Rattus norvegicus: one gene and its partner. The protein of the gene in region 1 purifies or fractionates together with the protein of each later gene. This does not show direct contact. Links are inferred from orthologs where the notes say so. Each region holds a gene or a part of one and is shown in the gene's direction. Other genes may lie near its edges.

Region 1 (5,483 bases):
GAAAGAAATTAAAGATTTATTTTATGTGTACAAGTATGTTGAAGAGGGCATCTGATCCCCTGGAACTGAATTTACAGATGGTTGTGAACTGCCATGTGGGTGCTGGGCATCAAACCCTGGTCCTCTGAAGGGCTCTTTCATGCCGAGCCCTCTCCAGTCCCCAAATCTGTATCTTTTTGTCTGTCTTTTTTGTTTTGAGACATTATCTATTACGTAGCACTGGCTATCCTGGAATTCAATGTGTAGACAAAGATGGCTTCTAACTCACAGATCCACCTGCCTTTGCCTCACCAGTCCCACCGTGCCTAGTAAAACTCTTCATTCAACATTACTACTTTAGATTTCTCCTCCATAAATTTGGCTAGCCTTATCTGCTCTGGTGTTGAGAATAATGAGTGTAATTAAAAACATTTGATTTAAGTCTGCTATAAAGCCTAATTAAATAGTGGCCATTATAGCACAAGAGCAAGAAGTGATGATGGGCTACATACCATCACCTTCTAGAATTTGTACCTGGGATGGCTGTTACTCCAAGCACACAATTGAGTGAGGAAGCAGAACAGAGTACTCAGGTGGGTGAGGTAGGATGGTGATGGACTTAAGCTGAGACCTAAGATACTGGCTTCTCTTTTTTAATTTGTTTTTTTTTTTTTTTTTGTTTGTTCTTTTTTTTTTTCTTTTTTTTCCGGAGCTGGGGACCGAACCCAGGGCCTTGCACTTCCTAGGTAAGCGCTCTACCACTGAGCTAAATCCCCAGCCCCTTTTAATTTGTTTTTTAAGGCAGGATTTCCCTCTGTAGCGCCAGTTGTTTTGGAACTCACTCTAAATGAGGCTGGCCTTGAACTCACAAAGATCTGTCTGCCTCTGCTTCCCAAGTGCTGGGATTAAAGGCTTGCACCACCGCCACTACCACTTCTTGGATACAGGCTTAGTAACAGCCGTAGAATCTGATCATGACAATAGGTTCACAGTGTTTTCTAATTTCCACGTGAATGTATTGGCTGTGAGAGCTCTATGGAAACACACAGAACTCAACTCAGAACGCCAAGAACAATAGTGAGTTGCATAAGTCTGGGCAGGTTTTGTCAAGATTCTGCTCAATTGTGGAGTTATCGTTATCTTCCATGCTCTCACACAGAATCGTTGGGTCAAAATCAGATCCTTCGGATGCTGCTTCCCTTTGGTTTGTGAAGTTAGGCAAGTCATTTACTGTGGGTTTCACTTTCCTCAACTTTCAAACTGATAAATTGAATTAGATGGCCTCTGATTAGTTATTTTCGCCAAAGGGCTTTTTTTAATTTTTCTGCCTCACATATAATACATGGTAACAGATGGTTTTTGATTCCTGCCGAATATGTTTTTAACAGAAAGACAAAGGAAAACCAATGAGTTTCGGTCTAACGAGTACAGTAATTTCTGATACATTTATGCGAAATGCATTCTTTGACCCTGGCATGTTTTAAGGCTGTTGTGGCAGAGCCTTACTGAGCCTTTCCGATGACACAGGGTAGACTTGGGTACGGACAAAGTTACCTGGCCAGCGGGGATTTTAGAAAGATTCATTCCTTCCTTTACTTTTCGCTTCCGCCTTTGGAGGCAGCCAATGAATACACAGCAATTCACGTTTATTAAAGAAAACTACGAATACCAGAAGTCAACGCGCTAAAGTGGTGCTTACTGGTAGGTCAAGCTTCACCATCCCTGCCCTTAAACGCGGAACTTCATTTCCCAGGAGCGCTTTGATATTCCTCCGCTCCTCCCCCTACTCGCTTGGGAGCCTCGCGCCAACGTTACGCGCGCGCGCACAGTACGTAGCATGCGAGTGACGTATAATATGTGGGCCGCTCAGGAGCCGTGGTCGCGCTGTGTGTGTGAGTGAGGGAGAGTGAGTGCGGGACCAGAGGCGGTGTGTGAGAACCGTGGCCGCTGGAGGGGTCGGGGGAGAAGCGGCGGAGCCGCTCGCGAAGGTGAGCGGGATAAGGAAGGAGCCGGCTCTCTGTCAGGGGCACGAGGAGACCGAGCGCGCGGCCCGCAGGGCGGGAGAGTGGGCGCCGCGCTGGGGGAGGGGCGGCACCTGCTTCGGCTGCGGGCGGCGAGGGGGTGGGCAGGACCACCGGGGAGGCTGGGCCCTGGGCCTGACAAGACTTTCCGCTTTCCGACCCCTGGCTAGGGGGCGGGGCCTCCAGGTTCTTCCACCAGTCTTGTAATGAAGCTTCTTTAGAGTAACTCTTCCGCCCGGGCGTGGGGGGGGGCAGGGTATGCTCTCTACCTGAAGGAGGTGCTCTTTTGAATTTCTCTCGTCACCTCCAAGTCTCTGTTCCTCACGAGACGAGGGGGCTTCCTCTTCCCTGCCGCACGACGGACCCCTTCCCGGGACTGTGTCTCCGCCTCCAACCTCAATCACCTGGGCGGGCTTTTCCCTCGTTCGGCTCCGAGCCACCTCCCACTTGCACCCTCCCGCCTCTTGGACCGGGCGAGGGGGCGGAGCTCTCCGGGACCCCTCCCACTTCTACAATGCAGTAGAGTGGAAGGGGAGAGAGGTATGTGGGTGCCCAGACGCCGAGTCTGACCCCAGATTGCCTGCCAGGCTTCTCCGGCACTTGTTCTGAGGGCTTTTAGTTAGTTTTTGTTGGGCTTTCAAGGACGTTTGCCATACTTTGTCTTCTGTTCCTAGAAGGTGTCGGTCCGTTTCCTCTTACTGCAGTGATAACTCTCTGGTTTTTCCATTTGTTGAGGAAATAGTCGTGGAGTGTGTGAAGTAGTAGTTTTTGAGTAACAAATGACTCGGTTTTGTTTATCTTACGTTGCTCTTTTTTTTTTTCCTTCCCAGAACTCATTGTAGAGTAGGCTGGCCTTGAACTAAGATATCCTCCTACCCAGAGTGCTGAGATTAAAGGTGTCTGCCCCCATGCCAAGTTTGCTCTGTTTTTTTTAACTCTTTGAGGCGAAGCCTTTTAGATACCCAGCACGTTTTAATTTGTTGTAGCACTGTCTTCCTATTGCAAGCCCTTTGTTAATGTATAGTAGGAAGTTCACTGATGGTGTCACCTGAAGGGCTTTGAAGGCTTTTTCCCCTTGAGGTTACTGGCATTTACCTTCAAGGCTTTTATAAACATTTCAGTTCAATGTCAAGATTTATGTTTTTGTTTTTTGAGACAGGGTTTCTCTGTGTAGCCGTGGTTGCCCAGAAACTCAGCTTAGACCAGGTTGGTCTCGAACTCAGAGATCTGCCTGCCTCTGCCTCCCTGAGTACTGGGATTAAAGGTGTAAACCAGCACTGCCCACCTTAAGATTTATGTTTGTGTATAACAGTTATTCATTAACCATTTTCGAATGAGGATATATTTTTAGGTGTTAAGGTAATTTGAGGAGTTTTTACACATCTTTTGAGCATCGTATTTACTGCTAACTGTTAGTTGTTAAATTTAATAATAAAATGTGATCAAAGGAACTCTGTTAAAGGGATTGGAGTTGGTTTATTACCACTATGTTTTTGTAAAGGAGCTAGTAGTCATTGGCAGTAATAAAGTTACATAGGATTGAATGCCATAGTGTTAACTTTTTTCTTGAAGCTCCCTCTTTACCCTTTTGGAGTTGAGGATCAACTTAGGGCCTCTCTCAGAGGAAATCTCCTTTCCCTTCCTTAAGGCCTTTTAAATAGTCTCTGCGTAGCCCGTCCCCTCTCCTCCCCCCTCCCTTTTTACTTTCCACTAGGAATTGAATTTAATACCTTAGGCCCTGAAGAATGCTTGGCAAGGGCCTACCCCTGAGCTATACCTCTCAGCTGCTTCCCTTTAAGGTTCAAAACTTTCCTGAAGGAGTGGTTTCCCCAACCTTTTCTCCCCTGCCCTGGATCTATTTTAATACAGCCTTTGTTTTAGATATGGGGACAGTTTTTGTTGAATTGACCATTCAATGTAGTGTATTAGAAAAGGACCTATTTCATGGTTTAACTTAGCAAAACGGTGGGGAAATGGTAGACTAGAGTGAAGTGTAATGAAAACCATTTATCATACACACAGTTACTTCATTACTTGTCATACAATACTTAACCTATTTTTTAGGTATTTTTTTCATTTCAGGGGGGATATGCATACACTTTTAAATTCAAAGATGGCAATCCTGCATAATGTTTTTCACTTTGATATTCATTTTTAACAATGGGTTTGAGCTTGGTGGTGGTAGTGCAAACCTTTAACCCAGCACTTGGGAAGCAGAGGCAAGTGGATCTGTGTGAGTTCAGTCTGGTCTACAGAACTAGTTCCAGGACAGCCAGGACCACACAGAGACACCCTGTCTTAAACCAACCAACCAACCAACCAACCAACCAACCAACCAACCAAAAAAACCCTGCAAACAAAAACAAATATCCAGTATATTTGAGAATCAGTTTGACAAAAGAGTTCAGTTCCAACATTTTGTTTTAATCTTTTTTTTGGTGATAATAGTTTTGGGGATGGAACCCAGGTGTTCTCGACTAAGTTCTTTTTACAATTGAGCTACATCTTGAGTCCCTCAAACTTTTTAAGTAGGAAAGTGAAAATAAGTGATAATCTTCAGTTTCAATAGTTAACTGCTTGCTGTGTTTTTCTATGTTAATTTTGTGGAATTTGAGCTGGTAGGCATATCACCTCTAAATACTTTGGCGTATATTCTTATGAGTAGGGAAATTCCATGCGTATAAATATATATTTTAAATATATTTAAGAATTTATATTTTGTAATAAGGAATTATCATTCGCTTCCCACAACTGTTTCTATTTAATAGAATTAGAAGTTGAGATTTTTTTCAAAAATTTGATATTTAGTGAAGTTAAATAAGAATTCACAGACATTTCAGGCGAGTTGGGATTTGAGTTCTTTTAAATCATCAATTCTTTTCTGGCATGTGTCATTTGTGTGGTCGTGAGAACCTCTATAATTTATTTTCTCATCTGTAAAAGTCACCTCACAGTGTGACTGTGAAAATTAAGCTTGAAAGTTAATTACTTAGCTCAATGCCCTGGGCTGGATATTTCCATCTTGGTGACCATTGATTCTGTCATCATTAGGTGTGTGTCATAACTTTTTGCATGATACTTATAAAAAAAACTTTAGTGGTTATTCTTCAAGCACTTGGGAGGCAGATACATGCAGATCTTTTATGAGTTCTGGGCTAGCTAGGGATACATAGTTAGATCCCTGCCCTCCAAAACAAAGGATGAATTAAATGATGCATACCCACTATATCATGCCAAACAAAATGATACCTTGTAAATTTATATTAATAAAGTCTTTTGATGATAGTAAGATGAGTTAACATGCAGGGTATTTATTTTTATTATATTTATTATGTACGTATGTGTTTATTTAGGTATTTATTGACACAAGATCTCTATATTGTACTGGCTGTCCTGAACTTCACTGTGTAGACCAGAGAGAGCCACCTGCCTCAGTGTCCTGAGTGCTGAAGTTAAATGTGTGTACTACCTTAGCACATTCAT
Region 2 (4,953 bases), on another chromosome or scaffold:
ATTAGAGGGGCCTGCTATTTAAATGCTTAAAAAATAAAAAGGATGTATTTCATGTATATGGGTATACTGTTGCTGTAGCTGTCTTCAGACACACCAGAAGAGGGCATCGGGTGCCCTTTGCAAATGGTTGGTTGTGAGCCATCTCTCCAGCCCAAAACAAAGTTTCTGATTAAATGGTTTTTAAAGATGCATCTTTTTACCTGGGTTGTGGTGGCACACACCTTTCCTCCCAGCACTCAGGAGGCAGAAGCAGGTGGACCCCTGTAAGTTTGAGGCCAGGCTGGTCTACAGTGTTAAGTCCATATATCTTCATACATACAGCCAGGGTCTCTTTTTGACTGTTTTTGTTATGGTGATACAGACTCTATGTATTCACAGACTATTCTCAACTCACTGTGTAGCACAGGTTGACCTCACAGTCATGGCCGTCCTACCTCAGCCTCCCACATGAGGGTTGCAGGTGTATCACACCACACCTGTGAGAAGTAAGGCTTCTTTCAGCTGGTTAGCAACTTCCAGAATCCCCTAGTGCACAAGTAATTTTACTCAAGTAGGAGGAAAGACGCGCTGTGTTGGGTCGGGTGGACTTTTACTTATTTGTGATATGGGGGATTGAACTCCAGGCTTGTGCATGTTGGGAAAATACCCTTTATCTCTGAGCCACAACCTCTAGCCCAGGAAGGTAGCTTTCTAATCTTTGTGATTTTTCAGGGTTAATTGTATTTTTTTTTTTGCCTCATCTGCTCACTTTGTTTTTATTTAATTTCATATGCTAACATTAGGCCCTAATGTGTAAGATTCCCGCAACACACCTGCAGGTTCTGAGCCCAGCTGATTTAGAAGCCTTCAGGCAGTAGTTTACAGCTTTTAACAGAGAGGGGCCAGACTCCACTGATTTGTAGTTGGTTTGGCTTCACTTCTTCCTTACCTGTGTCTGTTTTTATGAGACTATACCTTTAAAAAGTTTGCATCTCTCTGTGATTAAGAGTTGTATGTTTGTTCCTTGATTTTTAGTTGCTAATGTACTGTTACCTGATCTAATCATAAATTTCTGGTTGTCACCAAGAATTTCAGGTGGGGGGGGGTTGGGGATTTAGCTCAGTGGTAGAGCGCTTGCCTAGGAAGCTCAAGGTCCTGGGTTCGGTCCCCAGCTCCGAAAAAAAGAACCAAAAAAAAAAAAAAAAGAATTTCAGGTGGGAAGTTCCTTTCTCCCTCTTTTCCTCCTTTCCTCCCTCTAGCTTGTTCTGGAGATTAAAGTTGGGGATTGGAACTCAGTGCCTCACGTGTATTTGTGTGGGGTGCCACCACTGTGCTGCACCCGTGGTCTGAATCAACCCTATTTTCTTGGGGAATGGGAAGACCAGGACCTTTTTCTCTTTCTTTTTTTTTTTTTTTCCGGAGCTGGGGACCGAACCCAGGGCCTTGTACTTGTTAGGCAAGCGCTCTACCACTGAGCTAAATCCCCAGTCCCCCTTTTTCTCTTTCTAATCATGGTCTTCTCAATCTTGGTAAAGAGTAGGAAGATTGTTTTGTTCTTTTGTTTTGTTATCATTTAATACTCACCCACCACCCTTGAAATTGCTATTTTCCTCTGCTCCCCTCTGCTCCCCTCTGTGCTCACTTTCTTTCCTGTGCTTCTGTTTACATAGTCAGTTTATTTCTAAACTAGAACTGACAGCTCGGGGTTTGTAGAATGTAGGTTTAATAATGCTCTGTTCTTGTTAGTCATTGGTTCAGGGCTGTTGTTGGAGATTTGATATTGGTCACAAAGGTTTGAGAAACAAGCACAAACTTCAGGATAACCTGTGATTGGTCGTTGTTGTTGGTGGTGGTGGTGGTGGTGGTGGTGGTGTGTGTGTGTGTGTGTGTGTGTGTGTGTGTGTGTGTGTGTGTGTGTGTGTTCGTTCTTTCTTTCATTCTGTTTTGTTTTGCCATGCCTCTTCTGGGTAAACTATTCAGTGTTAGTGTTTGAGGCTTGAACATTTCACAGTTCAGCATTTTATGTGAAGTCCAGAAGGTGGCAGTGTAGCACATACTGAGTATTTCTCTTTCCTGTGGAAGAATGTTTAACATCTATCTGTAAGAGTGTGGGTGTGGCAGCTGAGAGCTGGGTGAAGTCTAGGACATGAGACTAGAAAGTTACCTCCTTTGGTGCTGTGGGATCTTGTTGGGTGTCATAGGTTCCACAGTTTACCCGTCTCTCTTTTTTTTTTTTTTCGGAGCTGGGGACCGAACCCAGGGCCTTGCGCTTCCTAGGCAAGCGCTCTACCACTGAGCTAAATCCCCAACCCCTACCCGTCTCTTTTTATCTCAGATATTGGTGATTACCACTAGTCTGCATTGCTTAAGCACAGAGAGACAGTTCTTGCCTGTGTGGGTAATACTTGGATTTCTTTTTTCAATGCTTGCCAAGTGGTTTTAGAACTGTCATATGACCTATCCACAGTGTATCCCCTACTCTGTGCTGCTGAAGGACCTGGAGATGAGGAATCTCCGGGAACTAGAAGACCTTATCATTGAGGCTGTCTACACTGACATCATCCAGGGCAAGCTGGACCAGCGAAACCAGCTCCTGGAAGTGGATTTCTGCATTGGCCGTGACATCCAGAAGAAAGATATCAATAATATTGTCAAGACCTTGCATGAATGGTGAGACTGGGAGATGGAGGGAGGGCCTCTCTGCAGCACTGTGATCTTGAGAAGTGAGCTTGAGGTAGTCCAAGCTGGGGTCTTTGGACACTGAGACAGAGTGGGGCTGCATTGGTGGTTACAGCTGTGTGGCATTAGGAAACCTGGAAGGGTTCCTGGTGCCTGCCTTGTGAAGTTGACTTTAAATGCAGCTGGGCTGTAAAATGTTCATGTGGAGTTATAGGTCGAGTCTCTGCATTCTGGCTGTGTGGCACCAAATCGCAGCTTCTAAACATATCTCCTTATCCTCCCGTCCAATGAATAAATGAATTTAGTAAAAAGAACAGAGACTTTAGTATATTATTTTAGTGGGATTTGATGCTTGCAAAAGTGGTTATGTGTTCTGTAAGGATTTAATGAGCTATGTAAGTGATTTGGGGCTATGAAACCAGAGCTTAGGGAAGTGTGAGGAAGCTTTGAGGGAGAGCATTATTGAGAGTGGGGAGATTGTTCCCACATGGGCCTATGGCGTGCTGCATGGCATTCAGCAGACTGGGCAGCTTTGTGCTGAGAGTTAGGGACACTTGCCTTTGTTGTTGTTTTTTCTCGAAACAGGCCTTGTTCTCTAGCCCAGGCTTGCCTAGAACTAACTATAACTATGCATTCTAGGTTTGCCTCAAAGTCAAGATTTGTCCAACTGCCTTCCAAGTACCACTACACCCAGATTTTGTATACATAAAAAATATAATACATACATATATAAAATAGGCATTTTGCTTACATGTATAGAAGTGCACTGTGTGTTTATCTAGTGCCCACAGGGGTCAGAGGAGGGCATCAGAGTCCCTGGAACTGGAGTTATGGGTGATCGTGAGCTAGTGTGTGGGTGTCGGAAGCTGAACTTGGGTCCTGTATAAGAGCAACAAACATTCTAACCACTGAGCCATCTCTTCAGCCACCAGAAGAGAGTCTCAGAGCTCCTACTTATATGTTAGAAGGGGACTGGAAAATAAAAACACAGCAAAATATTGGACATATTGAATAGTAATGGACAGTGTGTAAATTTTCATTATATTGCTTTTCAAAAACTTATTTTTTGAGACAGGATCTCATTTTGTAGACCTGGCTGGTGTCACAGGCTAGCTGTGAACTCAAGAGATCTGTCTCTGCTTCCTGAGTACCGGGATTAAAGGCATGTGTCACTAAGCCCAGTGAGAAGTGCTTGTTAACTAGGAAATAACTTCAAATTCCGAGGAAAAGGCAATCTGTAAAATAGAACATTTACTTTTTCTTTTGTAGAAAGGGATCAAGTCAGTGTTACTTGTAGTTAGTCCCTCCTTCGGTCTTAGTCTGTAAAAGTGTTTCTTATGGACTGCAAGGACTGGAAATTAGAGCTGTATTCCAAGAAATTGCCCACAATCTGCAGCTGCTGTGCCCTTGGCCTGTGTTACATATTTAGATGACTTGGTTTGGAAGGAGGGAGGGGACTGACATGACCACCTGGCAGAGGAAGTCCCATAAAGTGCTGGAAGGATCTGGGAGGGAGATTCCTGAGCCTGTAGGAGCCTGCTTCCACCTCACTGTAGCTCAGGGCTGGGTTTTCTGTTGCAGGTGTGACGGCTGTGAGGCAGTTCTCCTGGGCATTGAGCAGCAAGTTCTGAGAGCCAACCAGTACAAAGAGAACCACCACCGGACTCAGCAGCAGGTGGAAGCCGAGGTAACTAGAAACGGAGCATTTGTTCCCCTCCTTAGGGTGGCCTAGGAATTAGCTTGCAGCGTCTTTGTGTTTGACATTGCTTTGCTGTAAATATACCAGGTAAACACGCCTTGGGGTTAGTACTGGAGTTTACCAGAGAATGAGCGGGCTGAGCGTGTAGAATGTAGTTAGTACTGGAGTTTACCAGAGAACAAGCGGGCTGAGAGTGTAGAATGCATGCATCTTCAGTGTGCGTACTGTGTTGCAGCTGCTGAGGGAAAGAAATGTTGGTGCTGTGTTTTAAAAATAGAAGGGAACTGGAGAGATGGCTCAGCGGCGAAGCGGACTTACTGCTTTTACAGAGGACTTAGGTTTGGCTCTCAGGCAGCTCACAACCACCTGAAACTCCAGTTCCCGGGGTCCAGCACCACCTTCTGGCCTCTATGGGCTCTTACATGCACATGTACACAGATGTACATTCAGGCAACACACATACACTTAAATAAAATATCAAAAACTATTAAAATTTGAAATGTGAGGAAAGGGACAGGTCACCCCTGTCATACCAGTTAAAATAATATATCACCTACTGGCCCTCTAGAAAACGTAGAACAGACTGATGTAGGCAA

Evidence for each region. Proteins that work in one complex are often made in the same cells at the same time.
Region 2: the proteins of Dcaf1 (region 1) and Cops7b purify together in Homo sapiens (affinity purification with mass spectrometry; 3 studies listed by BioGRID, with this or other methods). This does not show direct contact. The link is inferred for Rattus norvegicus from reciprocal best matches to the Homo sapiens genes DCAF1 and COPS7B.

The regions. Positions count from the first base shown.
Region 1 is NC_086026.1:116,351,163-116,356,645, forward strand, and holds the start of Dcaf1 (DDB1- and CUL4-associated factor 1), read left to right. Parts: upstream 1-1,870; 5' UTR 1,871-1,967; intron 1,968-2,327; exon of another isoform or gene 2,328-2,540; intron 2,541-5,483. UniProt on the Homo sapiens protein: Acts both as a substrate recognition component of E3 ubiquitin-protein ligase complexes and as an atypical serine/threonine-protein kinase, playing key roles in various processes such as cell cycle, telomerase regulation and histone modification.
Region 2 is NC_086027.1:94,702,608-94,707,560, forward strand, and holds part of Cops7b (COP9 signalosome complex subunit 7b), read left to right. Parts: intron 1-2,446; coding exon 2,447-2,649; intron 2,650-4,239; coding exon 4,240-4,345; intron 4,346-4,953. UniProt on the Homo sapiens protein: Component of the COP9 signalosome complex (CSN), a complex involved in various cellular and developmental processes.